2 linked regions of the Alligator mississippiensis genome follow. The main gene of each other region encodes a partner of the protein of the gene in region 2 in a complex. Links are inferred from orthologs where the notes say so. Each region holds a gene or a part of one and is shown on either strand. Other genes may lie near its edges. The genes, in order: GATC and GATB.

Evidence for each region.
Region 1: GATB (region 2) and GATC share a complex: the UniProt entries of both Homo sapiens proteins name them as parts of the heterotrimeric GatCAB amidotransferase (AdT) complex. The link is inferred for Alligator mississippiensis from reciprocal best matches to the Homo sapiens genes GATB and GATC.

The regions. Positions count from the first base shown.
Region 1 is NC_081833.1:20,950,955-20,967,337, forward strand, and holds GATC (glutamyl-tRNA(Gln) amidotransferase subunit C, mitochondrial), read right to left. Parts: upstream 8,543-16,383; 5' UTR 8,503-8,542; coding exon 8,413-8,502; intron 7,672-8,412; coding exon 7,621-7,671; intron 7,385-7,620; coding exon 7,218-7,384; intron 6,396-7,217; coding exon 6,292-6,395; intron 5,884-6,291; coding exon 5,825-5,883; 3' UTR 5,579-5,824; downstream 1-5,578. Other genes in the region: SRSF9 (serine/arginine-rich splicing factor 9), read left to right, coding at 130-299, 1,912-2,084, 3,226-3,369; TRIAP1 (TP53-regulated inhibitor of apoptosis 1), read left to right, coding at 8,608-8,754, 10,108-10,191; cytochrome c oxidase subunit 6A1, mitochondrial, read right to left, coding at 14,771-14,857, 15,748-15,887. UniProt on the Homo sapiens protein: Allows the formation of correctly charged Gln-tRNA(Gln) through the transamidation of misacylated Glu-tRNA(Gln) in the mitochondria. The reaction takes place in the presence of glutamine and ATP through an activated gamma-phospho-Glu-tRNA(Gln).
Region 2 is NC_081825.1:96,834,786-96,851,190, reverse strand, and holds the start of GATB (glutamyl-tRNA(Gln) amidotransferase subunit B, mitochondrial), read right to left. Parts: upstream 7,837-16,405; 5' UTR 7,761-7,836; coding exon 7,627-7,760; intron 3,660-7,626; coding exon 3,509-3,659; intron 1-3,508. UniProt on the Homo sapiens protein: Allows the formation of correctly charged Gln-tRNA(Gln) through the transamidation of misacylated Glu-tRNA(Gln) in the mitochondria. The reaction takes place in the presence of glutamine and ATP through an activated gamma-phospho-Glu-tRNA(Gln).

The sequences.
Region 1 (16,383 bases), on a different chromosome or scaffold from region 2:
GATACAAATACAATCCAAAATCTAAAGTTGTCTTTCAGTTATTTTCAAACATGCCTGATAACCTGCTGGGATATAAGGAATCATCATAGACTGACCATTACTAACAGTCGGTTCATTTGTTCTTTGCAGAGATGCAGAAGATGCAGTTTATGGGAGAAATGGGTATGATTATGGAGAGTGTCGATTGCGTGTTGAGTTCCCTAGATCATACAGAGGACGGGGTGGAGATTTTGGTGGAGGACCCCGGGGAAGGAATGGCCCTCCATCACGACGTTCTGAATTTCGAGTTCTTGTTTCAGGTAAGTTGTATTCCACACTTGAGACTATTTTGCATTGTATCCCTGTCCTGGGGAGAAAGAAGTTCTCATATTGCTCTGCTGATTTAAAGTTTTTCTTATAATATGAACGTCTTCCTATAAAGGAGTGTCCCACTGCTGGTAAAGGACAGAAAATCCTGTCTGGTTTGATTCATAAAAGAGTCGTATCTTTTGGAGCTCATATTAAGTGAATGGTGAGCAGAAATGTCTTCACAGATCCAGATGTGACCTCAGCCTTGGATTCTGAAGAGAGCCAGCATATTGTGAGTGGGTAGGTAGGCAAAGGGAGGGAGAAGAACTTGGGCACCATTTCTCTATGAAGAAAATGTTTTGGAGCTAGGTGGAACTGTTTCCAACAAATCCCATCATTAAACAAAAAGGATTTGTTAGAGCAAATGATGCTCAGATAGACTCTGACGTTTTGTTTGTTTAAAAAAATATGTATTAAACTGATCTACGTCTCAGCAGCTCCACACAATCTACTCATTATTGGAGAGAATGACTCTAAGGGACCTAGGATGGGAGCCCTCCTCAATCAACAACCAGTGGGATCTATTTTAAACAACTTGGAAAGGCCATCCAGGTAGTGAGTTGTCATAGGACATATGGGTGGAGAGGGCTATTTGCAGGAGGGACTAGAAAGGTCTGCAGTGCAGATCAAAAATACAAAGTGAAATTCAGCACTTACTGAATTTTTAAAAGGAATCAGTCCTTTAATTAAAAAAACAAACAAACAAGCCCTCCTGCTGCCAGTGCTTGTACCCATGCATCATGTCAAAATACAAGTTGCTAAATTCTCATTTCTCTGCTTGCCCCTGTAACTTTCTAGCGATAAGAATTCCCTGTGTGGAAACTACTCCAATAAAATACCTTTGGCACCCTAGAAGGATTGGTACCCTAATCATTGAAACAGAGAGTACACCTCCTCTTCAAGAGTGAGGGCAGAGGAGAATAACTGTAACTATGACCATTATGGAAATCTTCTGTGCTAAAAGGCACTATAAAGCATTCCTTAAAAATACCAGGCCCCATAGCACACTGGATTTTCCAGTGCATGCTCGGGAAACCTCATCCTTCGTCTTCACATGGGAAATTTGCTGCTGGTTACAAGCTTAACTCCAGAAAGTTTTACTCATGACTGGAGAATGAGCTGCTGGAATCTCAGGATGAAAATTAATTTCTGATATGAAGGGGACCAGCCTGTCCTGGATGGGAAATGGAGGTTGAGTAACTCTTTTAAAAAGTAATAATCTACTTTTGAACAGAATCTTCATTTCAAATGTACTGGGTTGAGGGGTAGATTTAAGTTACTTTGCGGCAGCAAAAAGAGCGGATACTTCTGAACTCTCAGCACTTTGAATTCCAGAGAGACTGATCACCAATTTTGGAGGACTCAGCTACTTGTTTTCTGGAATGGAACTTAGCATTCTTGGATTCCTGTGTTCTCATTGCAGTGTTCAACCTCAGGAAGAGTGAGAAAGCATATGGAAGTGATGGAGCCCCTGGCATGGCAGGGTCAACGTATCTGGCTCAACCAGAGTAGATGGCTTTCTAGTTTACATGGTCTGTTATGTTTTGTGTTCTCCATGCTCAGGGCTTCCTCCATCAGGCAGTTGGCAGGACCTGAAGGATCACATGCGTGAAGCTGGTGATGTTTGTTATGCAGATGTACAGAAAGATGGAATGGGTATAGTTGAATTTCTCCGTAAGGAAGATATGGAGTACGCACTGCGTAAACTGGATGACACCAAATTCCGATCTCATGAGGTGGGTTCGTGCCTTCAGGGGAAGAGCATGTGTGTATGCAGTCATGGAGAAGCATACATTTCTTTCCGTGCCATGCTGCTCTCAAGAGACGTAACAGCAGAACCTTGGAGCTGGTGATTAATTGTAACACACTTCAATAATTTTGAGAGGTTTAGCATTTGTGAAACATACCTCACAGTGGCTCAGTATATTATGGTCTGACAGCACATGGAGGAAATCTAATTTTGGATATTTTTAAATACATAACCGGAAGGACAAGGCGCACACGAGCCTGTTTGTGAAAAACATGAGTTCTGTTTGGTACATCCTTTGTGTGGAAGCAAAGGGTTTGGACTGCTTGCTGCCAGCTTGCTTTTGTATACTTCTTAAGGGCTTAGTAGCTCAAAGCCTTCTTTCAAGTAAGTGAGCTCAGCTCACCACTCGCAGCTGGAGCAAACTTCCTCATTCTCCCAAAGGATGAGCTGGTAAGCATCTGTACAGGTTGCTATGGCTGTCTTTTTTCCTCCCCAGCATGGAGCATCATTTTGTGGCAATCTCTGTAAGGTTCTGATGTCTAAACTAGTAAGTCACAGCTGTCTTGTTCTTAGAGCTGTGCTACTTCACTGTATCCACCTTTTCCAGTGGCTGAGTTGTTCTGCTTCAACCATCTCTGGCAGTTGAAGGTTGAGTATTTGCTGTGGAGATTCCCCTACTGGTACATGATTGTGACCAGGGCTTGGCCTCTCCGTACTGTGCTAAAGGATCGTATTGGCTTCTATAGCTACTATCCTCCAGCATTTAAGGATGGAGTTTGTCCATTCCTTCACCTCCAGTCAGACCAGCTTTCTACCATTTGATTGAACTAGGAGGAACTTGTTCAGGGTTTCCTGTTCCAGCTGTTGAGTCTCTGCCCTTTAGAGACGAGGATGATAGCTAACAAGATATTCCTTGCTAGTACAGGTGCAATATTTTATAAAGTATGCTTTCCTCCATAAGCATCAAGTATCAGAGCAGTTTGTCCTGAGCAGCAGTTGAACTTAGTAGAATCTTTGTTTATTTATGTATTGGTCCTAGGCTCCATTTGGTGTTGTTCATACTAGTGAAGAACTGTTAATCAGGATGCAGTATAAAAAAATTGGGTTTTCTTCTGTTTAAATTTCAGGGTGAAACTTCCTATATCAGAGTCTGTCCTGAAAGAATTTCCAGCTATGGCTACTCACGGTCCCGTTCTGGGTCAAGGGGTCGTGATTCTCCATACCAAAGCAGGGGATCACCACGGTACTCCTCCCCCTTCAGGCCATACTGATTGCATCCAACAACAGGGACTTCTTAAAATGTGAACTGAGCTTCTTTCTGCTCGGAATTTACATTCCAAAACTGATGGATAGTTTTTCGTAGGAACTCGTTTTTTTTATTCAATAAAAATCTTTTTTTTATGATTTACAGTTCTTACTAGGGCAATGTTGGCAACACTTTGAAAAGTTGCGGTTTCATTTTGGTGTTTTGTTTGAAAACATGTCAAGGGTTTATTTTTTCCCTTCTAGCTGAGGAAAAGTAAACTCAAAAACTTGTGCAGTTATCTCCTGGCCTGCAGGATGGTGCTAAACAGTAATGGAGTGACTGTACAGCTCAGCCTGTTGTGTAGAAATATATTTAAATGTTTTAGTAACTCACCAGTGGTGGTTGTCTTTTATGTGAGGATTGTATTAAAAAGAGGTGGGAGTGGATTGCAAGCTCTGTCCCATGCCCACTGGGTACCCATCTGCTTAAGAAGGGAGAACAGTTTTCAGTAGCAAAATTATGCAGTCTAGGGTAGCAGAGGGAAAAACAGTGCCTGAAGACATTTTCTTTTCAGAGAAACTAATCCTATTTCAAAAGAGGGAAAGCTTACTGCATTAAGAGAAAAAGAAGATAGCAATTAGAATGCTGCTAAGTAGCTTGTTAGTTGCAGGTTTCCGTGTTTGTTTGGTGGGTTTGGTTTGTTTGTTTGGGTTTTTTTTGGGGGGGGGGGGTTAAACACATCAACCAAGCATTCTCTATGCTTGTAATAATCTAATTTGGTTTATAAATAACTCAACTACAGTACAGAAAAAGCTACTGACTTCAGTTTCAGATAAATGGTAGAAAAAAGAATTGCATCTAACTGTCACACTACTCAGTGCAGGCCTACAACTACTGCTTTCCTTGCATCTCAAAGCAATTTATAAACAAGACAGCATCACTGTCACTTCCAAGGTGGAGAAAGTGATTTGCCCAAATTGCTGAGGATAGAACACTGGTCAGGTTCCAGTCTAGTTTCTACTAGGTACATTACTGAGAACAGCAAAGGCATCTGTTAGCTTTCTGCTAATGGCATCTATTTGCACCTTTTAAGGTTGCTGAACTGCTTCAGTTCCTAAAATGTGTTCTGACATCACAAAGGCTATTGTGCATGTCTAAGTGTAGCACATTTATTTAAGGCAGGCTCTGTCACACTAGAAAGTTTCAGCAGGAGAAATAAATGCACTGCTTATAGCACCTTTCATTCCCCTTATAAGTGATTTTACCACTGAAAACAAACTACTAGCACTACTACAACTGTGTTTGCTTGGAACAAAGTTCTCTACTGCTTTATTATACACCAGGCCATCACAGTGTTATGGTCAGGTTCTCACTGATTTAAAAAAAAACCAAACAACCTAACTTTCAGGTTAAAGTAGTAACCCAAAATCCACATTTAACTGTGATCAAAATGAAACGGCAGTAATATATGGATATATATGTAGTGGTGTTTCATTTTGATCACAGAAAAATGTGGATTTTGGGTTCCTTTTTTAACCTGAAAATTGGGTTGTTGGTTTGTTTTTTGGTTTGCATTTTTTTTTTAAATCAGAGAAAACCAGGATCTCTGGTTACGATGATCAGAAAGCAGCCAGAACTTCAGTTTAATCAATGCATATGGATGGTCAAATGGCCTCTCACAATAAGTGTTTTCCACTGGCCTTTCTGGGCAGGGCATTCAACTTTACATCAAAAAAAATCACTTGTATGTATAAACAAACTCTATATGCCTTACTTAAGTGTAAATGTAGGAATCTGGCATATTAGCATAGCATTCCACAAAGCTATACATGGAAAGCAGTATATATACAAATGTAAGACTAGTCAGAGCTGAGAGAGATGAAGGCATATGGTAAAAATAGCGTTTTCTCTAAATGCTTTTTTAATCTAGCAGAAGTTCCCTCAACAGTACCTGTTCTACTGTACTGAACTTTGAGGGTTTCTTTTCCTGATTAGACCTCTAATCAGAGCTAAGCCAGGAAGTAAAAAATAGTTTAAGTGAATTAGGTTCTTACAAAGCTGCAGTACCTAACTTCTTCTCCAGCCCCTCTCATAACTTGACAGAAAAGTTGGATAGTCCTAGTTTCCCTTGTCATCAAGGCTGTGATATGCAGATGTATCTAGAGTACTGAACTTGTTTGATGTTCTCCAGGTTGACACTTCAGCCCTACCAAATGCAGACTAAGCAAACAGTATTGAGGCCATATTTCTATTTTGAAAGTGGCTTAACACCTTCCACCTTCATGTGTATATTTTAAAATAATCCAAACAAACCCTTTGATAGAAATAAAATATTGTAAAGAGGAGCAGCAGAAAGAATCAGTACTCGTGTGTGGGTGTTGTTCTTGGGATAATGTAACATCAGCTGTAGCTACATAAGATTAATTGTCCCCAACAGCATACTGCTGAAAGAACCAGTATGGCATTCTGGCCCAAGCTTTTCAGTTGGAGTCCTGCAGGAAGCTCTCACGCTCTTCTAACTTTGGTAGAGGGATGTTACCTAATAGGAAACAGATAATGAGAGTATGAGACAGCCTGCTAGTTTCCTGAATAATATTGCTGCAACTCGCATGTTTGTCCTTGTGGCTTAAACACTTACCAGTGACTAGGTTTTCCCCTGCAAAAAAGCTGCACTTGAGTTTACAAAAAGCTGCCTTTTGTAAAGAGTCTGCATAAGCAACATTAGGTGTAAATATAAAGCCATAACTTCTGCAGTGCCACTAAGTAATAATGAGCTAGGGTCCCATCCCTCTCTATCTTAACAAGTGACTGTGGCTATCATCCTAGTTCAGTACATGTTTACCACCATTCAGTATACACAGAAGTGAATTAACTGACAGGTTAATACTTCTTAAAAATCAGGGCAGGTATCAAGTCCCATTTAGCATCATCTGTAACAGAACTCTACCTGGTGGAGCTTCAAAATATTCTTCTGCTGTCTGGCTGGCATTTTGTAGCAGCTCCTTGGTGCAGTTGCCTTCTGTGATGTTATCTCCTCTGAGATACAGACACCTGGGGAGCACAGGAAACTTAATGTTCTTTTTCCAAATGACCTACTTTGCCAACTGTGCTTTAGAGAGTCTGATACAGGATGCAAAGTCATGCTCTAGAATCGGAAGGAAGTGCCTTCAAAACTTGTCATACTAAAATATGCTAGTTGCATCTTGAATTTAGGTCTTGCTGGGAGATCCCTGGCAGCTGGGTAACACGCTTCCACCAGTCCCATTGTTCAGGTCAAGCTTTACATTTGACCAGGCACATGTGTTGTTGCCACTTACTGAGCTTTCCTGAAATGAGCAATACCATGTCCTGAGTTCTCTGAAGAAATAAATACAGCAGTTGGCCTAGTGCTTAACATTATCAGCCCTACTCTATATTGAGCTGAGTGAAACACATTTTTTCATATAAGCATGCAGAAAATCTGGTTTCTTGATGAACTGAAGCTGCTAAAGAAACTAATACAGAGAAGGCATTGTTTATATAAACGGTCCCTGAAACTGTTCGGGGTGCAGACACCAGGTGCAAGAACATTCAGGAGTGATTTACAATGATTTTGCATTTGTAATACAGGATATTTCTAACATGAATGGTCTACATAAGAACATTAAGAAATCTGTGTACAGCCTTGTGTTTATATTCCAAGTTTAGGGACACTGTAGACACTCCTCTACCCCTCCCAAAAGAAAAAAACACCTGACCTAAAATAAAGGATTTTGTGGAGGACCAGCCAACTTCATATTTAGCATGATTAGTGGCAAAAAAATTATCAAAATTTACTGCAGCATTTCTTTGGAAAACTAGTAGTTAAAACAGTCACTAACCATAATTTTTTACCTGTTCTCAAGTACCGAATCCATTGGCTCTATCCCTTCTGTGTTAACCTCATGAAGTTGATCAGCAAATTGAATTGCTTTCTCCAGCCGCTCTACGCCCTCCCAATTGCGAAAATCAACTAGTGCCAGTCGTTCCAGATGATCAAGCAACTCCATGGTTACTTTTTTCTTTGAGAAAGGGGGAAAAAAAGAAGTCACATGTCTAGGTCCTGTATTAAGACTACCATATGGGGATGAGTTAGGATAGGCAGAATGAATAAACATAAAGCTAGATAAACTATCCTGAGTCTTGACCAGAGGATATTAGGAATTCCTCTATTACTCGGTCTCAGATTTGCAGTGATCATTTAGCAGAAACAGACTGGCCTGGACTAAATGTACATATGTTGATAGATTCATTATACCTGAGGAAGCGGTTTCTGTTCCTCTAGCTGCCATTCTGGATTCTGATCAATCTAAAGTGCAAGAGATAGGCCATGATAAATATAAGGCAGGGTAGATGAAAACAGACTAACCAAAGTAGATAGTATATATGTGCGCACGCACACTTTTGTTAGTCTACAACAAGGGGTAGGCAGTGCCTGCCACCACAGGTGCCAGAGTGCAGCAATCAAAAGCATTTTGCTTGGCACATGTGCCTTAGGGTGGATGGCAGGGAAGGGGCCAGGGCTGCGCTGCCTCACGGGCCCCGCTATCTGCCCCTGGCACACCAATATCTTTCAGGTCGAGTTTATGGGTGTTTGGGGCACTCTGCCCAAAAACGTTGGCAAGCCCTGATCTACAAGGTGCAAATCACTGCTGCCTCCTGCCCAATGGCTCCGTGCTGCTTACAGGCCCCGGGAAGGACGAGTCTCCACCCGCTGGGGATTTTTACAGTAGGTTTAATTGACTCCACATTGAGGGAGAAATTCCCCTGAGAGAAGGTGGAAGGCATCGAATCGGACCAAGAAACGGAGCAAGGAGATCGCGGCCCCCGCCAGCCTTCGCGCGCTCGCACCCAGTCCCGGGATGCCCGGTGCAGCTGGAGCCCGAGAAATCAACAACCCCGGGCCTGGGCTCAGCCCTCGCCCTCAGCGCTGCCCCTGCCGGGCTCTCGCTTCTAAGGAAGTCGGCGCCAGGCGCCCCCCAGGCAAAACCTCCCGCCCCCAGCCCATGGGGTACGACAGCACGTGACCAGCCCCGGCGCTGGCAGCCACCTGCCGGCCGCCGGTCGCTCCCCGCGCCAGGCGGCTCCCGCCCCACGACCAGGCGGCGCGAAGGCAGCGGCAGCCCCGCAGCGCCCACATCCCGGCCCGGCAGAGGAGCCGCGCGGTGGAAATACGTCATCCAACCGCGCCGGGCGGGAAGTACGTCACGGCGAGGCCCGCCCCTCAGGCGGCGGAGGTTCCGCCATGAACAGCGTGGGCGAGGCCTGCACGGAGCTGAAGCGCGAGTACGACCAGTGCTTCAACCGCTGGTTCGCTGAGAAGTTCCTCAAGGGCGAGAGCGCGGGGGACCCCTGCGTGCAGCTTTTCAAGCGCTACCAGCTCTGCGTGCAGGTGGGCGCCGCGCCCGCGTGCGAGACCCGCCTCCCGCCCTTCCCCTGTAGGGAAGCCTCGTCGCGTCGCGCGAGGCCGGTGCAGAGGAAGGGGCCCCGGGCCTGTTGCTAGCACCCGCGAGCCGGGGAGATGATTAAACCCTCTTAGCCTGTGCCCGCTGCTGCTCCTGCGCTCGGCGTGCTGGCGGGGAGACGGACCCCGGGGCCCGGGCGCCGCCGGGAGAAGAAATGCCGTGCGAGAGCTGGCGGGTCGCTCGTTGACACCGTGGTAACGTCTGCGGTGGCAGCACGGGCTCCTCTTGTCTTCTCAAATGTTTCCTCTTCAAAAACATCCCTTGTGTCTGTTTCTCACCTGGCCATAGCCCAGCATCGCTTCTCCTTCTTTACAAACTCTCAAGTGTTTCATTTCCTTGAGACAAAACACCAGATGAGGAGCTGCCCGGCATGGCACAGACCTCAGTAGGATGTTTTTATTTGCAGCACTACCTCACTGTGAAGCCACGATGACCTGTAGGGCTGTATTATATAATGCCCATAGTGAGCTGATTTGGATTTAGAGTCATATAAGCTTTTTGACAGGCTAAAACTTCACAAAGGAGCAACCTTTCCAAGCTAGTCTAAAGAAGCATTACCACCTCTTACAGAACCTCCTCAATATATGTGAGACCATGTTTGCTCATTTTGCAGTATCAGCTCATCAGCAGGACCCACACCCTGTAAGGGGCCAAACACCTGAGCCATCATTCCTTAATGATTTCCAACGCAGGTAGAAGGGGCTGACCGCACAGTTCACTGAGAGTCTTTGAGTGTCCCTTTGGGGATTTTTAGACATTTAATTTTACAAAATTTATTGTTTCCACTTGTGTGCCTTCTTTTGCTGTTTCCTTACATTTCATTCTTTCATTCTTCATAATGTGCATTCTCTTTTCCCTTTTGGTTAAGAACCACTTCGTTAATTTCTTTCCTTCAGCAAAAGAGTTCTATTCCTCCAATGGTGCTGTAAATCTAAAATCTAGTCCTCCACAAATCCTTCATTCACGTCTGTTTTTGTTTTTTCTGCTTCCAGCACTGTGACTTCTTCAGAGAGTCCCTCAGCTTGCTTTCTTTCCCTTACTAAGTAGAATTTGCCCTTTTACTGAGATGGTAGCGGGAAGGAGTGTGGATGAGAGATGAGTGAGGGTCTAGGCTGCAGTTTAGTACTGATTTAGCAGGAACTCTCAGACTTTCTTTGGTCCAGCTTGGAAGCCTTAATACCAACTTGAGCTAGAGCAGAGTGGTCTTAAATCACATCAGGCACCAAGAAAGTCTTCACAGCAAAAGATGTATAAAATATTTGCTTCTTTTTTCCTCCTAGAAAGCTATTAAGGAGAAGGACATCCCCATTGAAGGGCTGGAATTCATGGGCCCCAGCAAAGGAAAAGCTGAAAACTCCTCATGACTTCAGTTGGACCACACAGAACCATTAGCTTGATCTTTGGGCTCAAAAAAATCATCTTACAAAAGACTAGAGGACAGCTGATGGGAAGGTGGCTTTAAATCAGCTGCTGCTTCTGTCTGGTTTTTTAAAAAGCAAGGAGTCTTCTGTGCAGTTTTTTAATGCTGAGCTGTGTGGCAATTACTGTTCCATTTGAAATGAGCATTGAAATGAGCATTACGTTCTGCAGTGTGAAAAACCCTTCATTTAACTTCCTAAACAAATGTACTCTGAACTGAGGAATGCTTGTTAGGATTGGTTTCTGTTTCTTATTTATATATTAGACAATTTCCAGTGTTAAGATGAACATGAAGAGGTGCATGCTGCCAAATTTTAGTGGGCTACATCTTGACTGATCTTTGTTTTACTAAATATTATGGGCTACAGCCTTGCCTCTCATCCGTTTAATTATAGCAGTGTTTTAAATGCTACCACCATTGGGTCTGCAGTGTTTGGATATATGCAATGAAGAATGTAACCTGGTCAGGTCAAGTTATACTTAACTAAAGGATGCAGGGGTGTAGTTAAACCTGACTTTGGCCTTCAAGAAAGGCCGAAGGCAACCTGCCACAGGGGAGAAACACCGACTTGAGGAGTTATGCTCAGTAGCCTCACTCAAAGCACTGATAATATGTTACTGCTGTCTACTAGCAAGTGATTCCAGCTTCGAGAGTAAAGTTGCAGTGCATGCTTAGTCAGTATCCTTTACACCTTTCCATGCTATACCATAAAAGTGCCAGACTGACCCTAGTTACTAGATTAGGCTTCACGTAAACTATGATTGGATAAGGGCATCTGTATTGCTTTTCTTTCAGTAGAGACTTCTTGCTACTTTGGAGCCAGAAGAAAAATCTGAAGGAAGAAGAAGAAAAAGCACATCAAGATAGGACTACCTAAGGCATGTCCAGCACCCAAATTTAGTAGTTTAGTCTCTCTTTTTTTTTTTAAGAGTTACTCGACTTAGATTTTGAAATACTTTGGGCAAAGGATTGCTAGAGATGTAAGCTTAATATCTTTTTTTCTGCAAGTACCATCACTAATCTTTAGAACTAACCTGTGAATTGTAATATAAGTGGCTAGAGACCTCTCATAAGGAAAGAATTTTTCCCCGTCAGCTTTCTGATAGCTATTTCCTTATGCAGACATGAGGTCTATTAGGAGTAAGTTCTACCTTTTTCAACTCACTGAATATCCTACAAGATCCCTTAAGAAAGTGGCTTTTTCTTGCTTTTGTTCAGTCGGAGGAACTGAAAAGGCAAGGGATTTGGGGGTTTGAGGGGCCCAAATCAGGGGTCATTCTTTCCCTTCATGTGGACATTGAAGTTTGCAAAAGGGAAAATTCCCAGCCAGTTCAATAAAAGAGCTGAGTCTTTTACCCTCAAGAACGCTAGGGTGAAGATAAGGGGCTGCTGGATTGTGAGGGGAATATGGAGTCAAAGGCTAGAGGGCAAAGCCCAACCTGATAAATCCTTTTTTGTTTTCTTTCAGAGCTCAAAACAGTGTTGGTTCTTTGGGAATACAGTTAGCAAGAGACCAGCTGTACTCCATTGTGCCTTCCTAGGTTCAAGAGCAGGAGTGCCGTACTCAATTAATGAGACTTGCAGGGATGGAGTTCTGTTATGAGATGCCATAGAAGGCTGTAAGCACAGTATCTCCAGACAATGGTGTTTTACAGGAGACGGGTTCTTAGGGTCTGTAGCTGTAAACTGCTCTAGGATCACAGGAATAAAATTCCCCTCTTCTCCCAGTCTTTTCAATAGCTTTAAAAGTCAGAAAGTCATAGTAGTATCTCTGCAACATGGGGAATAAGTACTCAGTGCCATTAAAAGTACTTAGAACAAACAACACATCTTCCAGAAAGTAGAAGTTAAGGTTGCAGTTGATCTTGTCTTGATTTTTCCTCTGCTGAATAGCAGTGCTCTGCAACTGTTGAATTCTTATTTAAGAGTGTATGTAGCTAGCCATGACCTTTAGAATTGAGATTGGCCTAAAACATTTGTTGCTGTATAACTGCACACAGTATCCAAAAGACTGAACTGCTGACACCACACATGGCATAGCGGAGTTAATCATTCCTAGAATCTTCACCAAGCATTTAGTTCTTTGGGAACCTGACCCTGTAAAATGCCATCTAATAATTGAATCCCACCCAGAGTGTTATTAGAAGCAGAGCTGGCTTTTTTCCTTATCTAAATCTAAATTTAGACTTAAGGCAGCCCTTGGAAAATGGCAGCTTTTAGATTTCACTCATTTTTTGATACAAAAAAATAACAGCAATTCTTTCTGGGCAAGGAACTCAGGAAAACGACGACAGCTTTTGACCGCAGGAAGACCATAAAAGAGCATTTTTTACTTTGGATTCTTGTTTCAAATTTCTGGCTTTCTCTGGTGAATAACATGTAGGTGTTTGCACATCTAACAGTGCTAATATTGTGCAGCACCTTTAGAATGATCTTATAGTACCCCGGTTAAGCACACAGACTAGATGAATGATTCTCAGAAGAAAAACCGAATGCTGTGTTAAGGTAAAGCTAACCATTACCAGTTTTTCCATACAGCACTTTGATTCTTCCGGCAGAGATGGGGAAGGATGAAAGTTGACATTGTTGCAGGAACAGAATTAAGGTGGTTTGAGATATGCAACTAACATTCCTTTATTAAGGGTCACCTGTGCTTGCAACTTCACTCCATTTTACTGAAGCTTGTGTAGGAGGAAAACAAGGAATTGTAGTGCCTGAAAACCAGCTCCACCAGACAGCGCCTTAGATGTGCTTTAATACAGGGGATAGTTTATTTAGGCTGCCTCATGTAATTGGCCAAAATTGCTTTGTTGAGCTGTAATAAAGGGTATGAATTAAATCCTGTAAAGTTGAGATAGGGAAAACTGCATCTTCTTACGTGGGCTTCTTAGAATTCCCCATTTCTTCTGATTCTAGGAACAGCATGAAAGAAAAATGCAACAGAGGGTATTTGGAGACAAAATAAGCATTGATACATGAACATAAAAAAGTGTTTTCCTTGTAACAAAACATACTTTTCATACATGGGAGGGGAACAGAGCCCAGGGCAGATGATAGCTCAGCCTACCCCAGATTTGAATGGTTCACTTAATGGTGTGAGTACAGGGGAGACTAGGGAATGGATAGGGGACCACTTCTTTACCTCCCCACCTTTACCTGCCCCTCACCCCTCTACCTTTTGCTCCAGCTCCCCAACCTCACTGCCTGGAACTGCCACTGTTCCCTGACCAGGCTGGCTGCTGATGCTACTCCTGTTGCCAGCTTCCCTGAAGGATCAGAACTGTAGCAGAAAGTAGGGAAGGGGGTAGGCATCTTGTCCCTCACCCCACTACCACAGCAGTGCAGAGGATGCATTTAAGATGATCTTCCACTAATTAAGTTCTATATGTAGAAAAATACTGATAGATTTACAATTTTCTACGCATATAATTAATTGGGGTAGGGGGGAGAGGAACGAGAGCAGGTCATCTTGGATCTGGGCAAACATGGTATTAAGTTCATAAAAGGCCTCTAGTCCATCAAGTTTCTATAAAGAGATTGTGTTACTGGAAATCTAAAGGAAGAAACAAACACCTTTGCTTCACTTTTACAGAAGAAAAATGCCATATGGAGCCCTACAGTATATGATTTTGTATCTTAGGCTCCAACTGGACAGCTATATTCCACATGCTCCCTTCTCAACAATTTTTCTCCCTGCTACTAACTACAGGTCTTATTTCCTGTTCAGCCCACCCCCACCCCTCCCTCCTCTTAACAAAGATGCATCTCCCTCTGGTTCTCTGACAGGTTTAACATCTCAGGTCATTGGAGATGCTGCACAGGATTTCTAAAGTAAAACATTAATTAATGGGACCAAGTCTTGTTGATAGATCTGTTATTCCCTATATGTCTGGTATACAATTTGGAGCATCAGGAACACTGGAATAGATGGATCGGTGCAAGCTTCTTTGCTAGAATAGATTTCATGTTTTTATTTTAGTAATATTCCTGCCCTTTGGTGGTCTCAAGAAATCTTTCCATACCAACCAAATCAGTAAAACATACATTATGGCTTTGGGAACAAGGTCAATTAGACAGACCTCAAATTGAATTAATTTAATCTGAAACTTAACCATGCTAAAGATCTTGATGCTTGCATGCATCTTCCACTCATCTGTTAGAGTCAATAATGATAAAGCAGAAGCCTGCAGTAAGTAAGGGTCTGCTTAAAAAACAAAGCAGCAGCATTTAAGCCCATTATGCTCTTGCTTAAAAGTTGAAAACCTTTTACCTGAAAGACGTATTAACAATAAGACTGTCTAGATGGGTAGAAACTAGAGCAAGACTTTTCACAAGATTCACACAGAAATCCAAGTGGAATTATTTATTTAAGGTGACCTCTTGTACAGGTGCAGTACAAGGGGTCAGAATGTCATTTATAACCTTACAGTACAGGAATGCAGAATAATTGTTTAGATGAAAGGTCCCATACAAATGTTCTGGTCAGAATATATCAGTAGCTCAAGTTGCTGTGGTCCACATCTTTAGTGATCATCTTCATAGCCAGTTGGGAGAGGATTGACATGCGGGTTGTGGAATAGACTTTTGTTCCCATCTCCCCAAGGGAAGGGCTGTTAAAAGAAGAAATGTATTAAAAATTGCTTGGTAATTGCTTGACAGAAATGCTAAGGTACAAGAAAATAACACCTGTAAAAGGTAGTAAAGCCAGGCTCAAGAACATTATGCAACTGAAAGGGTAGTGAATGAGCCAACTGATGCAGACCTCACACCTGTCATTTATGCTAGAACAGAAACAATAAAAGCACAAAATGGAGCTTCAGTTTAAGTCTGGGGTGCTTGGATAAGTCACCATCTAAAAGGTAAAAAAGACAAACAAACTTGCAATGCAGAGATGTGCAAAGAGCAGTCACAAGAATGTATTTGTAGGAATGAGTTTGAGTCAGTATATCAAAGACAACTACGCATTAGAGGCAGCTTAGTATGAATCCATTCTGCATAGAAGTGTAACAGTAGAATGAGAATTAGAACCTGCTAGTATTTTTACCCTTTCAACAAGTTTCCTATGGATGGACAGATGCTAACCACTATTTCAGGGATTCTCTCACTCACAAGGCAACCCTCTTACTTCAACGTAGTTGCAACTCCTATGCCTGTATAACCCCCACATTGATAACTCTGGTCCAGTCTTTGTCCTTATTCATTAATTTAAGTCTAGCTTAAGATCAGAGAGATGTGCTATTTAAGAGCAAAATTGTTTTGATGATGCATCAAATTCACTCTCAAGAAAATGAAAATTAGATATGTCCATTTACAAAAATGTCTTGGATGAGATCTTAAAAGCTCACAACCCACCTCACAGGAAGTGTGAACACTTGAAACCTTACAAATGCAAAGATGGTTCCTTGTCTTTCAGCAGCAGACAAAAGGCAGGGTGGCTGACAATAGAACCATACTAAGTGATTTGAGGAAGTAATTGTCTGGGCCATACTGCTGCACATACCTTGGTCCTGATACGGAGGTGAGGATAAGGAATGAACTCTGGTCTCTCATGCTTGTGCTGCGCCTTTAAGTAGCAGTTCAACATGCAGACTGCCACACCAGGCAAAGCAACAAAAAAGGTCAGGAGCTTCCATGTTCGAGCTAGCAAGGAGAGAAACAGGATACTGAGGATGGGCAACATTAGAGAGAGTTTCAAAATCACACTTGTTAGAACAACATTTCAGGAAGTGTTAGTAAAATGAGATGGAGCCTCATTTTATATTAATCTCGTTACAAAATGGGAAGTTCTGCATAACAACCTATCATTTTTAAAAACTTTGGAAGCAGTCTCAAAATGAAGTTTCACGGTTTACATACAGAAAAAAAACTGTTGTTTCAAAAGCAACTTCTACAAAGCTTTGCTTATCTATGCTCAAGAATTAGATTTATTTTAAGTGGCATGTTCTGACAGAACTGCTTAGACAATTTTTCTGGTCAATGCTAGTCTGTTACTTTTAAAACAGTGAAAGCCTTCTTTCTATTTTATAATTCCCTATATAACCACCCACTTTCTGCTGATAAGTACCCTGTACACTTAACAGTGGATTTCAAACTGAACAATATTACGGTTGGCAAAATGATTCATTAGCCACAGTCT
Region 2 (16,405 bases):
TGCTTGCCAGTCCCTTAGCAGCAAGTGATAGCTGTGCAGGTCAGAGACCATATCACCCATAAACATGCAACTGCTCACAGCACATTCTAACTTTAGTACTCCATCATATTCCATTGATTTAGCATGGCCTAAAGGTAACATGTAACAAACCCCTTTAACATCAAAAGCAACATAATTTGGCAAATGGTTTTTACTATTTGCATGATTTAAATAGCTGTGCCTTACCCATGGGTGTCTTAGGTGGTTTATTCTGCGTTGCTGAGAGCCGTCTGGTTGTTTTATTATGGACCTGATTTCATCTACCATTAAGCAACAACCCTGATTAACTTCAACAGAACAAAGCTCAGGTTGTAAATAAGGTAGCCTTAATAGCTCATATACAGAATGCTACACAGGGCCTGCCACATGTCACCTGGCTGTGCAATTGCAGGGATCTTCAGAAGCTGTTATTTACAGCCCAAGCCCCTGTTAATATTAAAGGTAGCTAACCAGAGCTCATCACTGGAGCCCACATACCTAGGGGAGAGGTGGTTAAAAAAAAATAAAAATAAGGTGCACACTTGTGCACATTATAGTTTTGAAAGCTCTTATAGAGTTCTACAAGACAGCAAAACCCTCGGAGAATAAAATAAGTCTCTGAAAAGCTGTCTATGTTATACTTGGGAAAGTACCATGATTGATCAGGACGTAATTCTCTCCAACAGTTCCATGGCAGGAGGATCAAAATTATATAGGATTATAGTATAAGCCAGAAGAATATAGCTGTAGTCTACCGCTGTCATTGGGAAAGATATGTGGGCACTCCCTCCCCTACCCCACCTCCCCACTCCTCAAACTATCCCTTAATTCTACCTCATTTCCAAATAGGATTGCAGCTGCACTGTGGCTCATGCCCACAGATTTTTCTCTAAGGCACATCATGAGCAGCAGCATGATGAAATGGATGTGACACTCGCACATCTGTACTCTACTAGTGATCCAGAAATGTATGGCAATCATATCAGTTTCCTTTAGTGCCATTCGTTCTGGCACCACTGGGGAAGCATTATAGGAGGCACAGTAATACACAGATGGTCCTCCTTTGCTACTGTCGGATGATCTCTCCATAAATTTAAATCCCTGTGATTCCGATAACTGTCACTACAGTTCTCAGAACAACATTTATTACTGTAGTTATCCTCTGCTGCAGACGCAGCACAAATATTGTGTTTTCCCAGTTCTACTAAAATATTGCTTTTCTTATTAGTTTCTCTGCAAAATAGCAAGAGTTCAAAGGAAATATTAGTTACTGAGATCCTAGAGACTTATTCCAGCAAAATAATACAACTTTAAGAAAGGTACAAATTTTGGTCTAAAATTATTTAGAAGATTTGCAAAAATATCATTTCCTATCACTCTCCAGATATTTCTAATGCACATGCCTAAACAAATCAGTCCTCCGATGCCAAAACAAAGATCAGTCTTGGCTGATGTAGTGAATGCTGTGGGAAAACAAAGCTTACATAAAGAATGGGCTCCATACTACAGTCTTACCAACAAGTACAAGAAAATTTTAAATATTCATATTCAACTCTGCCCTCATTGTATTTGGACTAGGATCCCCCCCCTCCCATACAGATAAAAGCAGTTGAAGGAAGCAAACAAGAGCAGTATCACTAATTTTTTATTAATCTAATCATCAGGTTCTTTGTTAATCAGGTGCAGTTATCTTCTCCACCAAAGTCTGTAGCTGGTGAAGCCCATGATTTTCCGCTAGGGAACACTCATGAAAGCAAGAGCCAGCCCCTTTTATAAAGAGCAAAAATGAGACTGAAAACAAATCTCGAGGAAAAAGATATTTTTATTTAACAAAGACATATAGAGCCAGAAAACCCTCCATGAACTATAATTCCACCATGCTTTGGCCTATTTTTTTTTCTTCCTGGGCAACTTCCAATTTGATTCAATATATGCATTAGGTGATTTGATTTCCATTCACTGACCAAGTATTAACTAGATGGGCCAAAACCAGAACCTTGAACTTAAACCACAGCAAAAATGACAGTAGAAAGGAAGGGTAGACAGACATAAAACCCATGCTCTAATCCTGCCTTCCTGGTTTTTGGCTATGTACTAGATTCAAAATTAAAAAGGAATTTATTTTCCAATTCAGTACCACCAACATCTCCTGAAAACAGTTGCTCTCATCAGTTCCATACAAGATACCAGAAATCTTTTGAAAACAGTGTATTCATAAGAATTTAACCCTCCCTTGGGGTAGTTCTCATTATACTGTGACATCTCCCTGGAATTTACCACCAATCCAATAATCTAATATAAACTATACCACCCCCATCCACCTTCTAATACTTCCACAAGTACTTTTACTTTTCATAATACCTTTTACTTTGTAACTGAAGTCACATTTCTGTTCTCAAGCTCCCCAAGGTGTTTTCCACATGGTTTGGATTCCCCCAAAATCCTACGTGCCTTTCCAGAGGTTTATACCCAATTTAAAAAATCCCACCTACTGTTCTTTTTCAGAGAAGAAAGTGTTCAAATAGGACAATAAAAGAAATTCAGGTTTGACTTCCAATGAAGTCAGTCAGTGAAGCACTTCTGCTTTAAATAGTTTGACTCCACTGATACTCGTTTACAAAGACCACAACAGAATATACTTGATGTATGAATAAGCCCATTCAATAGTTACTTTTTCAAACACATCAAATTTGTATACATAATACTTTACATTTATATGGCACCTCTCTCCAAAAAGGATCCCCAAGAGCTTTACAATGTGCAAGTACTCACAAGAATTACTGTCATGGTCACCTTAGAGAAAAATCATACTGAAAAATTCAAATGAGACTTTAAACTAAAAAAGAATTATGTTGCCACTAATAAATTCTTAGGACTAAGAGTTATCTCCATAATCCCTCTTTTACTACTCTGTAAAGTGTTATGAATATTTATAGCATAATATAAATAAAAAATAAGAACGGTTTACAGTTTTCCAAATCAGATAGGTTTTGCTTCAAAAAACAACTCTGAGGCATTCCAAACAGTAAATGACAGCTACATGAAAACACATAAGGCAAAGTAATGGCAATAGCTGCTTGACAATCTAACATGCTCATCTTTTGTAGGATTTTAATACCTCCAAATATTTAAGGAACTTCTAGTGCTGCTTACTAACTAAATACAGTATAACCAACAAACATCAATCAACATTACCCTGCAAATACACTCATTCTGGGCTCATAAAATTTTTACCCTTAATCCTGCATTACTTCCTTATCAGGAATTTTCAGAGGTCTGTGGTTACACAACTACAACATACATTACTCAAAGAATATTAAAATAAAGATCTAAAGTTACCAAGTAGGAGCTTCAGGCAGATAAATTCAAGAACAGGGCTAGATTTAAACTCTTATGAACAAGGAAAGATAAAAATTGTGCCTTGAGAAATCTGCTCAGCAAAATTGTTAAGATTCTGTTGTAAGAGAAGGTAAGGTTAAATGCAACTTACTGGTAAGGTTCCTGGTAGAGAAGCATCAAAAAAAGATACCAAAGAGTTAGGGGGTGCTGTAAACTGCACTTGGGAGCCAGAGAAAATCTTGGAGTTGGAACTGATCTGTGCATGAACTTCCAGACCCACCACTGCTCTCCAGGGAGCAACACTGAAAAAGAGGAGAAATAACATATAATTAGTGTGCATCACTCCATTAATAACTAGGAAAATTTATACAAGACAAAATAACAAAAAAAACCTTGCCACTTAATAGTGTGTTGTGGTCCTATGCTGCTGCATTGGAGGCCACAGACTAATCTACATCTTTTATAATCTATAATCTTATAAATCTTGAGGCAAATAGTGCGGCCAAGTGTTTTTATTATGTACACATTAAAGATGATTTAAGTAGATGAGAATAAATGTATGAATCTGAAAACTTTTCCATGAAAAGCTGCACTGAAATAAGCAATGTGAAGGAACATACTGCACAACCCCCCAATTTCGTACCCCATGGAAATTATGAAATCATCATAAATATCAACTGCTTCTCAACTAGTTTGATAAGTCTCCAACAAACAGGTGGCATATTAAATTATGTACACATTGTCAGCTAGTCACTAGCATGCTGGGAAAGGTGGCTCTCCAGAGCAATGTTAGTACCAGATTAGCATAAACATTAGTAGTCTGGTAATAGAGAAATCATCATTTCAACTGGAGAGTGACTGCTCTTTGAACATGCTCTACAGATAAAGCTTCTCCATATCATCTGAAAAGTAATTGCAATTCTCACATCCATAACCTTTATATGGACAAGAGAAAGAGGTCACCTTTACAGTATGAATGGCTCGACGGTTTCTGTAAGTAATTATCTGGCCTTGTACGAATGCAGTGACACAAATAATATTTCAGTGGTGAAATCACATTTCTATGGCAGGACACTTCAGCAAATATAAGTACCAAGATAGTTATAACAGATAAGTGGGCTATGGAAAAACATTAAACAAATATATCAAATATAGTGTTTCTTTCAAAGGTGAACACAATGCAATTTTTACTTGCCAAGACTTGAATTCTGTGTCTGTCCTCCAATAGCTGAGGACATCACTACAGATCACCAAAACTTAATCAAGCATATCCTATATAAATCACTCATTAAAGGAAGGCAGATACTATCATGTAGGACTTTCAGGCATTCAAATAAAGTCTTCTACAACCATTTTTGCTTGTGTATGCTGACTGGAACCATATAAAATTACATTTTAAAAAATGAAGAGCCTTATCTAGTTTTCAACTGCAGACCTATTAGAATATTTAAAGTAACTGTCCTCAATCCTTCAAAAACTTATGCAAACTTTTTAAAGCTTTGCTACCAGGAGTCACCACAATGACTCCAATTAAATCAACTGGAAACCAGTTAAACAAATGAAACGCAGGGCCAGTGAAATTAAGCACGTGCATAAGTAAGTGTTTTCTTTCTGCATTTCCACAATTCATACTGGATTCACTCATGGTGACTCAATCAGCAGGTACTTTTTTGTGATGGCTGTAATCTTATGCACCAGAGCTTCAGTTTTCATTTTAAAAATAATAAGAATTTAGCTATTATAGTTCGAAAGAAAAGTCTCCAAAGTATAAAGCAAGCATAAAACAATGCACTGATGATTGCCAGAGTCTGCAGAGGGCCTGAAAGAACAACTCTGATAAATATGGAGAGCTTGCATTCAAAATTAACTTGGAATCTGCATAAATCTCTTATGACAATTTAAATATCAATGCTAAATTACTTCGCTGCTGATCAGAGTACACTAGAAAGTGGCAAGATTCTCAGTCCAAAAATGCTTAGATGGCCCTTCTGGCATTACAAGTCGGTAGAGATTTAGACTGCATCTGCCCCTCCATTCTGGGGCCTGATTGTAGCTCAGACGCAGAGCTAATCAGTTTAGTTTGTGGTTATGGCACATCCTTAGTTGATTCCAGCTATACAAGTGCAATGTTCCGTTTCCAACGTTTATTGAATAACCAATTAGAAACTATTTCTGCCATGGCATGGGACAAATGTCACATGTGTAGACCAGGCTCTTTTTCTACCAAAATCTAAAGTTTGGCCTAATTTTCCCTGCACAACCAACTCCTTTAAAGCTCTTCTCCTTCCTAAGCACAATCTTCAAAGTGTCCCACATGAATCCCTTGATCTTGTGTTCAGATCCATGCAGATCAAAGCCTTGGCTTCCATGGGGGTATGAGGGTTTTCCACAGGTGCACCAGACTGCTGTCCTGTCAACACCCTCAAAAGGGCACCAAAACTCCCGATGGCCTTTTTGGGGCTTTCACCCACTGCACTAGGCTCCAGGTGATGCCTACAGACCTATGACTGTCATCCTTAGCTGGGGTCCACAGCCAGAAGTCTCATGTAATAGCCCCTAGTTTTGGGTGCTGGCAAGGCTGGGGGCTTCCCCCCTCCCCTAGAAGTCAGGTCTTGAAGTAGTTACTATAGTATGGCATGAAGCTTCTGAACTAGCAACAGAAATCATGGACACTGATCTGGAGCTCAGACCTATCTTTTCACTTCCTGATTTAGGGGAATCCTTTTAAGCTGTTGTCCAAAACCAACGACAACTTTCCAGCATTTAAGTTCTTTGTGTCTACCGACTACAATCTACTACTCATACAGTCTTTCAGCTGCTTTTCTTTCACGTAGATGTCAAACAGCCCCAAACTTTTCAAACAAATCAGCGCTTTGCTTTTTGATTTGGTTCCTGAACGTTTTGTTCTCTCTTCACCTTTTCTCTTACTAAGTTCTAAAGATAACCGATTCCTTCATCTCTCCTCTGGTTTCATTTTTTTCCCCCCTCACTCTTTCCTGTGCCACTGTTCAATTTCCAAATTGTTAAGGCTAAGCATTCTTTCATAGTTTCATAAATTTTAGGGGCTGGAAGGGACCTTACAGATTGTCGGGTCCAGGCCCCCTGCACTTGGGCAGCAAGACCAGCAGAAATATGCTTCTACATTCTGCTTGTCCCCAGACAACTCTGAGGTAAAAAGACTTTTTCAGCCTCTCTCTGTGCCTGGACAAAATTAACTATTCCAAATAGATTTTACCACACCTTCAGCTCTCCTGTAAAATATGAATTTTCATTTCTACCTAGGAGAACTTTTACAATTTCTGCTCTCTCCTATGCCTGATGAAGGGTGTGTGCGCCCAACAGCTTGCAAAAAAATAAAACAATTTGTTTGACTCATAGAAAGTGAGGGTTGGAAGGGAGCTCAGGAGGTCATGTAGTCCAACTCCCCAAAGCAGGACCATCCCCAACTAGATCATCCCAGCCAATATCTAGCTGGTTTGCAAGTATCTAAGTGGTCTAATAAAATATATCACCTCTTCCATGAGTTTTGATTCCTTTTGCCTCTAGATCAATACAGCTACAACCTGGATACCTTCAAAATCAGTCTGCATTAAATCATCGTTCACTAATAGTTTTTTTTCCTGAGGTCTAGTATCCCTTGGGGCTGGTGATGGTTTAGGCTTAGCAATCAGGTAGGGCTACCATTAGGGTTGCCAACCCTGCTGGATTGGCTGGGAGTCTACTGGAATCAGCACTGATCTCCCAGTGACTACTTAATGAATTCCAGGAGATTTTAAATAGGAGATTTAAAGAAAATTAAATCAATTAATAACATTACATCATGTTGGGAAGAAAAAAATCTCCCAGAATAGTTTCAGTCAGAGCTGGCAACCCTAGTTACCATATTTCCAGTTCCAAAAAAGAGGGCAACTGGGGGTGGCTGGGTATATGATGAAGTATGTGCTGGATACAATAAATGACAAGTGTTAATAGCCCAGAAATTAAATGTAAAACCAAAATAAAGCCACAGCCCCCCAGCACCAGCTCTCCCAGCAGCTGCAGGGGGACGGGGCGGGGGGGAACCCGTGGGCGGGGGAGCTGGGCCAGGTCACGTGGACTCTGACGTAGGCGGCGCGGCTAGGGCAGAACGCGGCAGGGGGGAGGGGAACTCTGCAGGGGCACCCCCTACGGCGGGCGACGTGAGTCCTGACGTAGGCCGACGGGGGAGTTTGTAGGAGCGCCCCAAGTAGACAGGCCTCGCCCTCCCCGCCCGGCCGCCCCGGGCCCTACCCGCTCTGCGCCGCCGCAACCTTCCCCGGCTCCCGGCCGAGCGCCGCGGGCTGCGCCCCGCTGTGCAAAGCTCCTGCCCGGCGGCGCCAGGCCAGCCGACAAAGGCGGCCGCCGCCACTCACGGGAGCCGCCATGTTGACCAGCTTGGGCGGGGATCATGTGACCCCAGCACCGCCCTCGGGTTGGCTCCAGCGCGCTTGTTCCGCGGTCCGCTGGGGGAGAGGTTTGCTATGGTGATGACGCTTCAGTTTGCCAGTAACGGCCGCAGGGGCGTGTGGGGGAGGAGCACGTTTGTGGCAGGCGTGTGAAGCGTGCCCCGCCCCCCCAGGGAAGCCAACACGTGGGCGGCGAGGGAGAAGACGGGCTGGGGCGCGGGCCAGCATCCACGGGCTCGCCAGCGAGGCTAAGGAGCCCGTGGGCTCTGCGCTATGAAACTGCCAGGAGAGGGCAACGCATGAGGGCCTGGGAGAGGCCCCATGGGCGGGAGGGGACCCCAGGCCAGAGCCTCTTTTCTGGTCAGGGAAGTGCAAAAGCCACAGAAAAGGCCACATAAGTGATTTTGGGCAGAGAACTTTGCTCCCAGGGTTGCTAGGTGGACTGTAATGATCGTACTTGTACAATAATCTCCACCCTTATACAATGTACAACCAGTATTAGTAAGTGTTTAAAATGTACCATCATTTTTGAGGGGTGTAGGCTGTAGCCGTGTTTGTCTAAGGACATAGGCATACAAGGTTCTTTGGGTGAATCTGATATCTTTTATTAGACCAACTAAATAGTTGGAGATCAATTATTAAGCAAGCTTTTAAACCATCATTTTCGAGGCAGCTTGCTGATGCAGCACATGCAAAACCCAAGTCCTGCTGGGGGGGGGGCGGGGTTCTTAGCTGACTTCTGGGTGTGCTGTCAGCCCTTTCTTATGATGACTGTTTGCCTCCAAATAAAGAAGCACTTCAACTTTGATGACCCAGTTCTCACTCACTGGCTTCTTACAAGAAGCAAGAGACAGTAAATTAAGAAAAAGACTTATTTGCATATTCTTTCAGCATAGCATAGTTTTTCAGCAGATATGATCATTTTGAGTTTCCAGTATGATAATTTCATCTTTAAGACCTGGCAACGCTGTTTGCTGCTCTCTAGTAGACTGGGATCAAGGGGGAAGTGATTTAGCACCGGCATTTCACTGACATGTGCCAGTCACAAGATAACGTTGAATGGAGTTGATCCAGGGCCTGGAGGAGGCTGGCAGCTCTAGGGAACAGGACAGGCTGTTCATAAAAACCCCAGAGAAGTCAGGCTGGGAGGGACCTTCAAAGGTCATCTAGTCCAACCCTCTGCCTGAGGCAGGATCATCCCTTTCCAAACTGTCCCGTACAGCCTATCATTTAAAACACAGGAGCTCAATCTCTGGCATGTGGGCCAAATGTGTCTGACCTGTGAAGCTCCCCACAGGTTCAGAAGTCTTGTGGCGGGTGGAGTGGTGCAAGTAATGCTGCCTCCCCTCCCTTGCTGCCAGATTCCCAAACCCTGTGAGCTGGGGCATGTCCCCTTCTCCCCCAGCATGGCCAGATTGTGGCTGGGCTGTGCCCCCTTCTCCCCACAGTGTGGTGGGATTGGGGCTGGGTTTTGCCCCTTTCTCCACCAGCACAACTGGATTAGGGCTGGGCCACACCCTTAACCCCCCGCCCCCCAGCTGCATGGGGCAGGCCACACTCCCTCTGCCCCACCCTGCGCAGCCAGATCAGATTTGGATTTGGTCCATGGACACTCTCAACATTGTCCTTTCTTCATTGCCCAAAGTGGAATAAGTTTTGGGCACCACTGATCTAAACTCTTCATAAGACTACGGCTAACTGATGCAACACAAGATACAGCACCCTAACCTACCACAGGTAACCACTGCAGCCATCATCCACAGTCATAGGCAATTTAAATCTCTCTGTGCACTTAACTGAAATCCCAGATTGCTGGCATCACCTTTATAGTACTGTTTTGCTCACTGGCTTCATTTTAAAGAGGTGGTTAGGTCTTGACTGTGTAGGAAGCTTTGTGTTGTTAGCCTCCTTGTATCCACCTGGACTCCCTTTGGCTTAACAGAGCACAGTCTTCCTAGTCAGAGCTCCCGATAGGCTGAAGCTGTTGTGTATAGATGTTATCCTTGCATCAGGTTTCTTTAACAATTGCCTTCATGAACTCTTCTGGATTTTATTATTCTTTGGTACTTTGGAGGCATCAGTACATCAAATCAGCAGGTTTTTGGTATGGTTTCAGAATGTGGCTTAAGTACATACTGGTGTGAAAATGCTAAATTTTGGATTACTGGACTTGTTTCAAAGCCTGGTATTATGATGTAATAAAACATTTCTGAAATAAGTAGTAATAAGTTAAAAGCTTATAAATATTAACAGCACATTAGGCAGAGTCCTACTCTTATAGGATCTTACTGGATTCTGCCCTTTAATTGCATACTTGAAAAAAAGAGGAATATATAAGAAACTGAAGAGGGTACATATCTTCCATCCCCAAACATCTCCCTTCCCTGGAAGGGTAAGTAAGATTGAAAAAGGCCCCATGTTTATATTGCTGACCCCCCATGCCATAGCAAATGGCTTCCAAAAATAATCCCATAAAAAAAAACTTCTGTAATGCTCTGTTCCAATGACCAAATAGTAGATGAAAGCTTACTCTCACAGTTACAGGATGTTGATCAATTGCAGACAAGCAAGGCATGATTGTCTTTCCCAGCAGATTACTTTGAGGTAAAGGAATTCTTATTTGTTTCTTTGTGCTTTGGGCAGTAGCATTCAATTTACAATGTGTTTATAGATTATGCTGTGCCTTGGAATTGCTGGAGTTGCATAAAGACATGCATGACAGTGGATCTGGACTAACTGTGTAGACTTCTCTATTGAAGAAGGCAGGTATAAAGGGGAGTTTGCTGTGAAATCAAGTTTCTTATTGATATAGAAATGCACTGGATACCTAAGAGTAAATTGGAATTTCATGCAAGACAAAAGCCCTATATTTATGTATCATCTAAGCAAGGCACACTCTTCTTTGTCCCACTTGAAAGAAGATCCTCCTAAATTTCAGTGTATAGGGTCAGAGATCTCTAAATTCTGCTTTCTTGTAAGCTATGTTTAGCATGCATTCTTATCCCTTTTTGTGAACTGCGAGATCTCCCTGTAGCATATCAGGGAGTGGGGTATTCAGACATGGGGTGTTTTGTTGGATTGCTCACAGGCTGACTGTAGTATCTTATTTCAGCATGTGTAATAAGGGACAGACAAAAACTTTTGTTGGTTTTTAACATGAAGGGTGTGGCTGTCAGCAGAGTAGAGACCTAGTCGGCCAGATAAAATAATGTCCTTACATTAGTGGTTCTCAACCTTTTTAGACTCCAGGCACCCTTTAGAAAGTGCCAAATCTTAGCTTTCACTCATTTTTTTGACCATGTTAAAAATAGAACGATTCTTCTGTTGCAGAGAACTCAAAGACCAAAACAGGTTTGAATGTTTTTGACACTATGGATGACAGTACTATTTGAGATCTCTGGGTTTATTTTGTGAATCAGATGTGGATGTTATGCTAGGTGTTTATGCTAAGTTTGTACACCTAATAGTGGTAATATTGTACAGCACCGTTTGAAGGATCTTGCAGCACTCCAGCGTGCTGCAACACTTTGGTTGATAATCACTGTTCTACAGGGAAGAATAACTAGGATTACTGTGTTTGGAAGATAACTATGGTAAAGGAATATTTTCAGGCTTTTAGATCCCCTAAAATTACCTCTGTATCTTGAATGCTGTTTTCTCTACAGGTATATATAAAAATATTTTCCTCATTTTCTGCAGTTTTCAACTGGTTTTCTATACCAGACCAGGCCTTTACTAAAGCTTCTGAAGATAGGAACAAAATATAAATAAAAAAATACATCTAACCAATTTGCCATTATCTTATTAGTGAAATGGAAGGAGAAAGGGAAGTTTCTTTTTGACCCCAGCAGATGATCAACTTAAGCTAAAATGGTTGCCGTATATTATCTATCAGTTCTGTACTTGCATGTTGTTGTTTAAGTGTGTGGGTGGCCTCAGGGTGGTCTTTCATTAAAGACTGTATTAATCTAGCAATAAAAAAATGGCAGAAACTGAGCCAGAGAGTTTTCTTGGGCTGTGTCCTGTGCCAGTGAGATCCTTAGCCCCATATTGCAGGTGTTCTATGCTGACCTTTACATTTCAAACATCAAGAGACAGAGATAATAGATAGAGATAATAGATTTTGATTTTGGGGATGATTTAACTTTGTTTGAAATGTCATTGTCTTTGTTTTGTTAAATTATCTAGGTGTGCTGTTTTTAATAGGTTTTTGCACCTGCAATTTGAATCGTATGTGGCCCTGAGGTTGGAAAATAATATCTGATGCCCTTAGAAGATAATCCACTCTGACACAATGCCCTTCTTATGTTTCAGGTCAGTCAGCTAGGGCAGAGTTACTGTTGTACTCATTGGACCTGTGGAAATCTTCAGACAAGTCCCCCCAGGGCACAGTCAACACTGTGTAAGTAGGTGTAGCTCCACTGATTTCATTCCACAGTAGTGGAACTTCAACCACTTCTAATCCTAGTGCCTCTGCTAACCAACTAGAAGCAAACTTCTTGCCTTCTAGAATGGTATTCAAGTATTGTGGGTATATTTTTTTAGCAACACTGCTGAGCTGAATTTGATTCTGTGTTATTGGGAACTGACCTCCCAAAAACACAGCATGCTCTCGTCTTCACACCATAAGCCTGTACTACTTTGGCCATGATTTTCAGTTGCCTGTCAATTCTCTGTAGCAGGAAACCAATGGTATCACTTTCTTGGTGATCACACCCTTTGGCATTAGTCCCATTATACTGTACACCATCTTAAAGGGCTTTGAACTAAAGCAGGTACTGTAATTTAGGAAGCATATCAGGTTTATGTGTAGGTATTCTACAGTTTACCAAGGAGCAGTCACCCAACTTTATATTTTACCTCACTTCTAAAGTAATGGGATTTACATATTGATATAGCAGAGACAATTGGCAAAATGGCCAGATTGCAGCAGAAAAAACCATTGATTTGTTTTTGAGCCTCATACAGATGACATTGTTGAAGACACGCACAGAAGAAAATGACTCACGGTGTTTCAATAGATAAAAGCACTGATCAGTATAGTACTTTCCATTTCATTGGCATCTGCATAAAAATGTCCTTTGATAATGTCTTTCCATTCCTTATTTGCTGTTTCCCTTCTTGTGGGGTGGAGAAAGGAGAAGTGTAGAAGGATTTAGCAGATAGCTCTTTTCTCCTCTCTTCTCAGTTTTTGCTAGTATTTTTGCCTCCTTGTGTTTTCCCCTGTTATTTTCAGCCAAAATTGCAAAGAGCTGTTATTGGGTTGCTATGTCTGAGGCCTGATATTTCCTAAATTAAGAGCAACAACTCTTGTTACAACTCTTGTTTCAAACTATCTATGACTTCATATATAAGGTCAGAGATATAAAATTTCAACTGCATATGGTTTCACCTAACACAGGCCTAGAGCAAGAACTTTCTCCCTTCACCCCTGGATATAAGGGAAAACCTAAGGTCTTTTGTATGAGGTACATATCTAAGTCCTAATCTTTCAGTGTTTCTAAAGCCAGTGTAACACAGGCTTGCAGGTTAACATAACCGTTTATTTTCAGACAAGCCATCCCATCCAAACTCTGTTTGTAATATAAATTGTCCATCCCAATATTATCTGAAATTGTTTAGGGTTTCAGTTTCATGTGGTCATTTCAATTTGAAGATTCCAGTTGACAGCCTCACCCAAGGAAAAAAATAGACACAAAGACCAATACTAAGTTTGTTTAAGAGGCAAAATTCCAGTGAACCTAGAAATACACATCAAAGGGTTTTCCCTGTAGTGGGACACAGCATTAATAATCAACAGAATCTCCAATTATTATTGACTTTATCTCATATGAAATAAGTGAAGGAATTGTTTGACAGAGTTGTTAAGCAACATAATACTTTCAGTAAGCCTGTTATAATAATGGTATTATTTTAGTCTAAAATTAATTTTTTAATCAAAAACACTTTAAAAATAGTCTCAAGTGTTAAATTCCATCAGGAATTCTGCTTTTCATAGAAGGATTTCTTTAAAATGCAGGATTATTTATAGGTTACAAGCAGCTCAAAGAGGTTACATTATAAAAGAAAATGATACTCTAGAGCTTTAGAACAGTGCTGCTTGGGTTGCCTTTACTTTACTCAGTGTAGAGAATTGCTTTTAATTTTCTGAAGCAATAAGAAATACGAATTAAAACTGGTGACCAGATGGAACTTTCTGATTAAGTTTTGTTGTGCTAGTAGTGCAATAAAATAAATGAAGGAAAAGAGAAACAAATCTGAAGATTAATCCAGTAGGTTCTGACTGAAGTTTCCACTTACTGAAGTGAGATAACCTCATCCCAGCTTTCCCCCTTTTTCCTGCCTGACAACCTGCACCTTGGTATTGTTCCAAAAAACTAGAGTAATTTTTATTTTGAAGAACTTTTGTATCTATCATGATTGTTCTGTACCTCCTATAATTTTATGTGTATAAATTTATCATAGTATTTTGAGCCTTTGCTTTATGTATTTATGGGTATATGCTGCCTTAGGTGCATCTCCTCAGTGAGCTCAAAAAAGAGATCCTGATTCTAGTGAAGTCGACAGGAGTCTTACCAATTAATTCAGTTGGTCTCTATCTTCACCATTGGACTCTTAAATCATTTAGGTGCCCATGAAGTATACTTAGGTTCTTATAATACCTTCAGTACATTACACAAAATAAAATTTGCCTTCTGCTTTTGCTCATTTCCTCTGATAAGTTTCAGGAAACTTTATTTATATGGCATTATCTATTTATAGTGTATTGACAAGCTTTCTGATAATGGTAGCATGGGCATTCCAATCAAGAAGTGCAAATAATACTTTCTCCTGGAAACAGCAAAAAGAAGTTGCTGCCTTTTACTATACGCCTTGATGCTTCTCTTCCATTTCACAGTTTTGGTTCTCCCAAAACCAGAATCAGGTGTTCAGATACCAAAGCAGTAAGTGTGGTAAAAATGAAATATAAATTAGATGAACAGGTATAATTTTCATGCAGATGCAGAAAGGCTTGTATGTTTCCAATCTTGGTAAGTGCCTGCTCCATGGCTCTAGTATATGGGCATGTTTAATCTAATTTATTGTGTAGAGGAGTATGTGCTGAAGTTACTTGCATGAATTGAGTGATCATGTCCAGTTTTCAACACACCTGAAGAATGAGAACTTTTGTTTTAAGTATAGCACAAAGAACAGCAGCTATGAGATATAAGATTGTGCTACTAATGTACTTATTCATTGAATTTAATGGACATATCTAAAATTGAAAGGATTTTTCATTCTTCTTGACCTGTTTGGAGAATCTGTCAACTACTTCAGAGAGTGGCGTGTTCTGTGGGTGAGAACTGCTGTCCACAGGCAATAGATTAATTTCACATAATATGAGTAGCCATCAGATGTACTGACAGAAATTTTGTAGTTTCTTGGATTAGTTTTGAACTGGTGACCTACAGGTAAAAGCTCTTCTCTGGTATTTTGGCCCCACTGAAGCTGTTAACTTGTCTGAGGCCAGATTTCACTGTCTGTACCTTGTTATCATTACTATTGGCTTTAGTGTGGTATTTTTTACATATAGTATCAAAGTACATCTGTTTTCCATTTTTATTATTTATAGAAAGTATTAAATATTATGCTGCCTTGGGAACACCAGTCATGTAAAAGTTATATACCAGCACATAAAATATATCTTACTGGGATAACTCTTTCTTTTATTTTAAAGGGAGGAAGGAAAGGAGGATTAAGTGTTCTTACTTCTTACATGATCTCAGATTTGCCCTTAAGCCTCCAATTATGGGAGTGAGATTGTCTGTGAAGAAATTTTTATTAACCTATCAATCAATAATTGCTATGGGAATGAAGAGTTTCAGCTCTACTAACTGATTAGTAAATTGCAATCTGAAGCCAGACATATAAGAGATGTTGCCTGCTTTGCAATATCAGAATGATGGATCATTAAATTTTAATAAATTGGATAATCTTTGAAGTTTATATTTCCTCCTTGCTTTACAAAGTACTGCAGTGTGTGCAAAGAATTCAATTCAAGGTAGCTCACACAACACAATTTCTCTGTGTGAGAAGGTTTGTCACAAAAAACTCCCAGGGACTTCAGTGAGAGTTTGCATGAAAAAAAATCTGCAGGATTGGTCCCAAAACTGCTGCAAAAGCAGGAGCTAAAGAGTCAGCTTTTAATATCCTGTTTTAACATTACCAAGATTATTTCTAGGCCAAAGAGACATCAGAGACCAACCCTATTAATTTTCTCCTATGTCCCTCTTCTCTTTTTCTCCCCTTGTCTCTCCTCTGAAACCATTAAAGTTTATAATAGTGGTAATAGCTTGTACTTATTGTAATATCTTCCCTTATCATCTCCTGATGCTAACCCTAATAGTCTGAGTAGTGCTAATGGTATATATTGTCATTGTTAGGCTTTTCTTGTAAGACAGCTTTTAATCTATACCAGAGGCCCACAACCCATGGCCCATAGGCCAGATCTAGCCTGTGAAGAGATGGGATTGGACCCACGGCATCTCAGGGAATCAGCAGCACACTCCAGCCTGGGGCACAGAGGAGTTATTGCTGGGGTCTTACTACCTGCTGTATTCTGTTTATTTTCACTGCTACAGCAA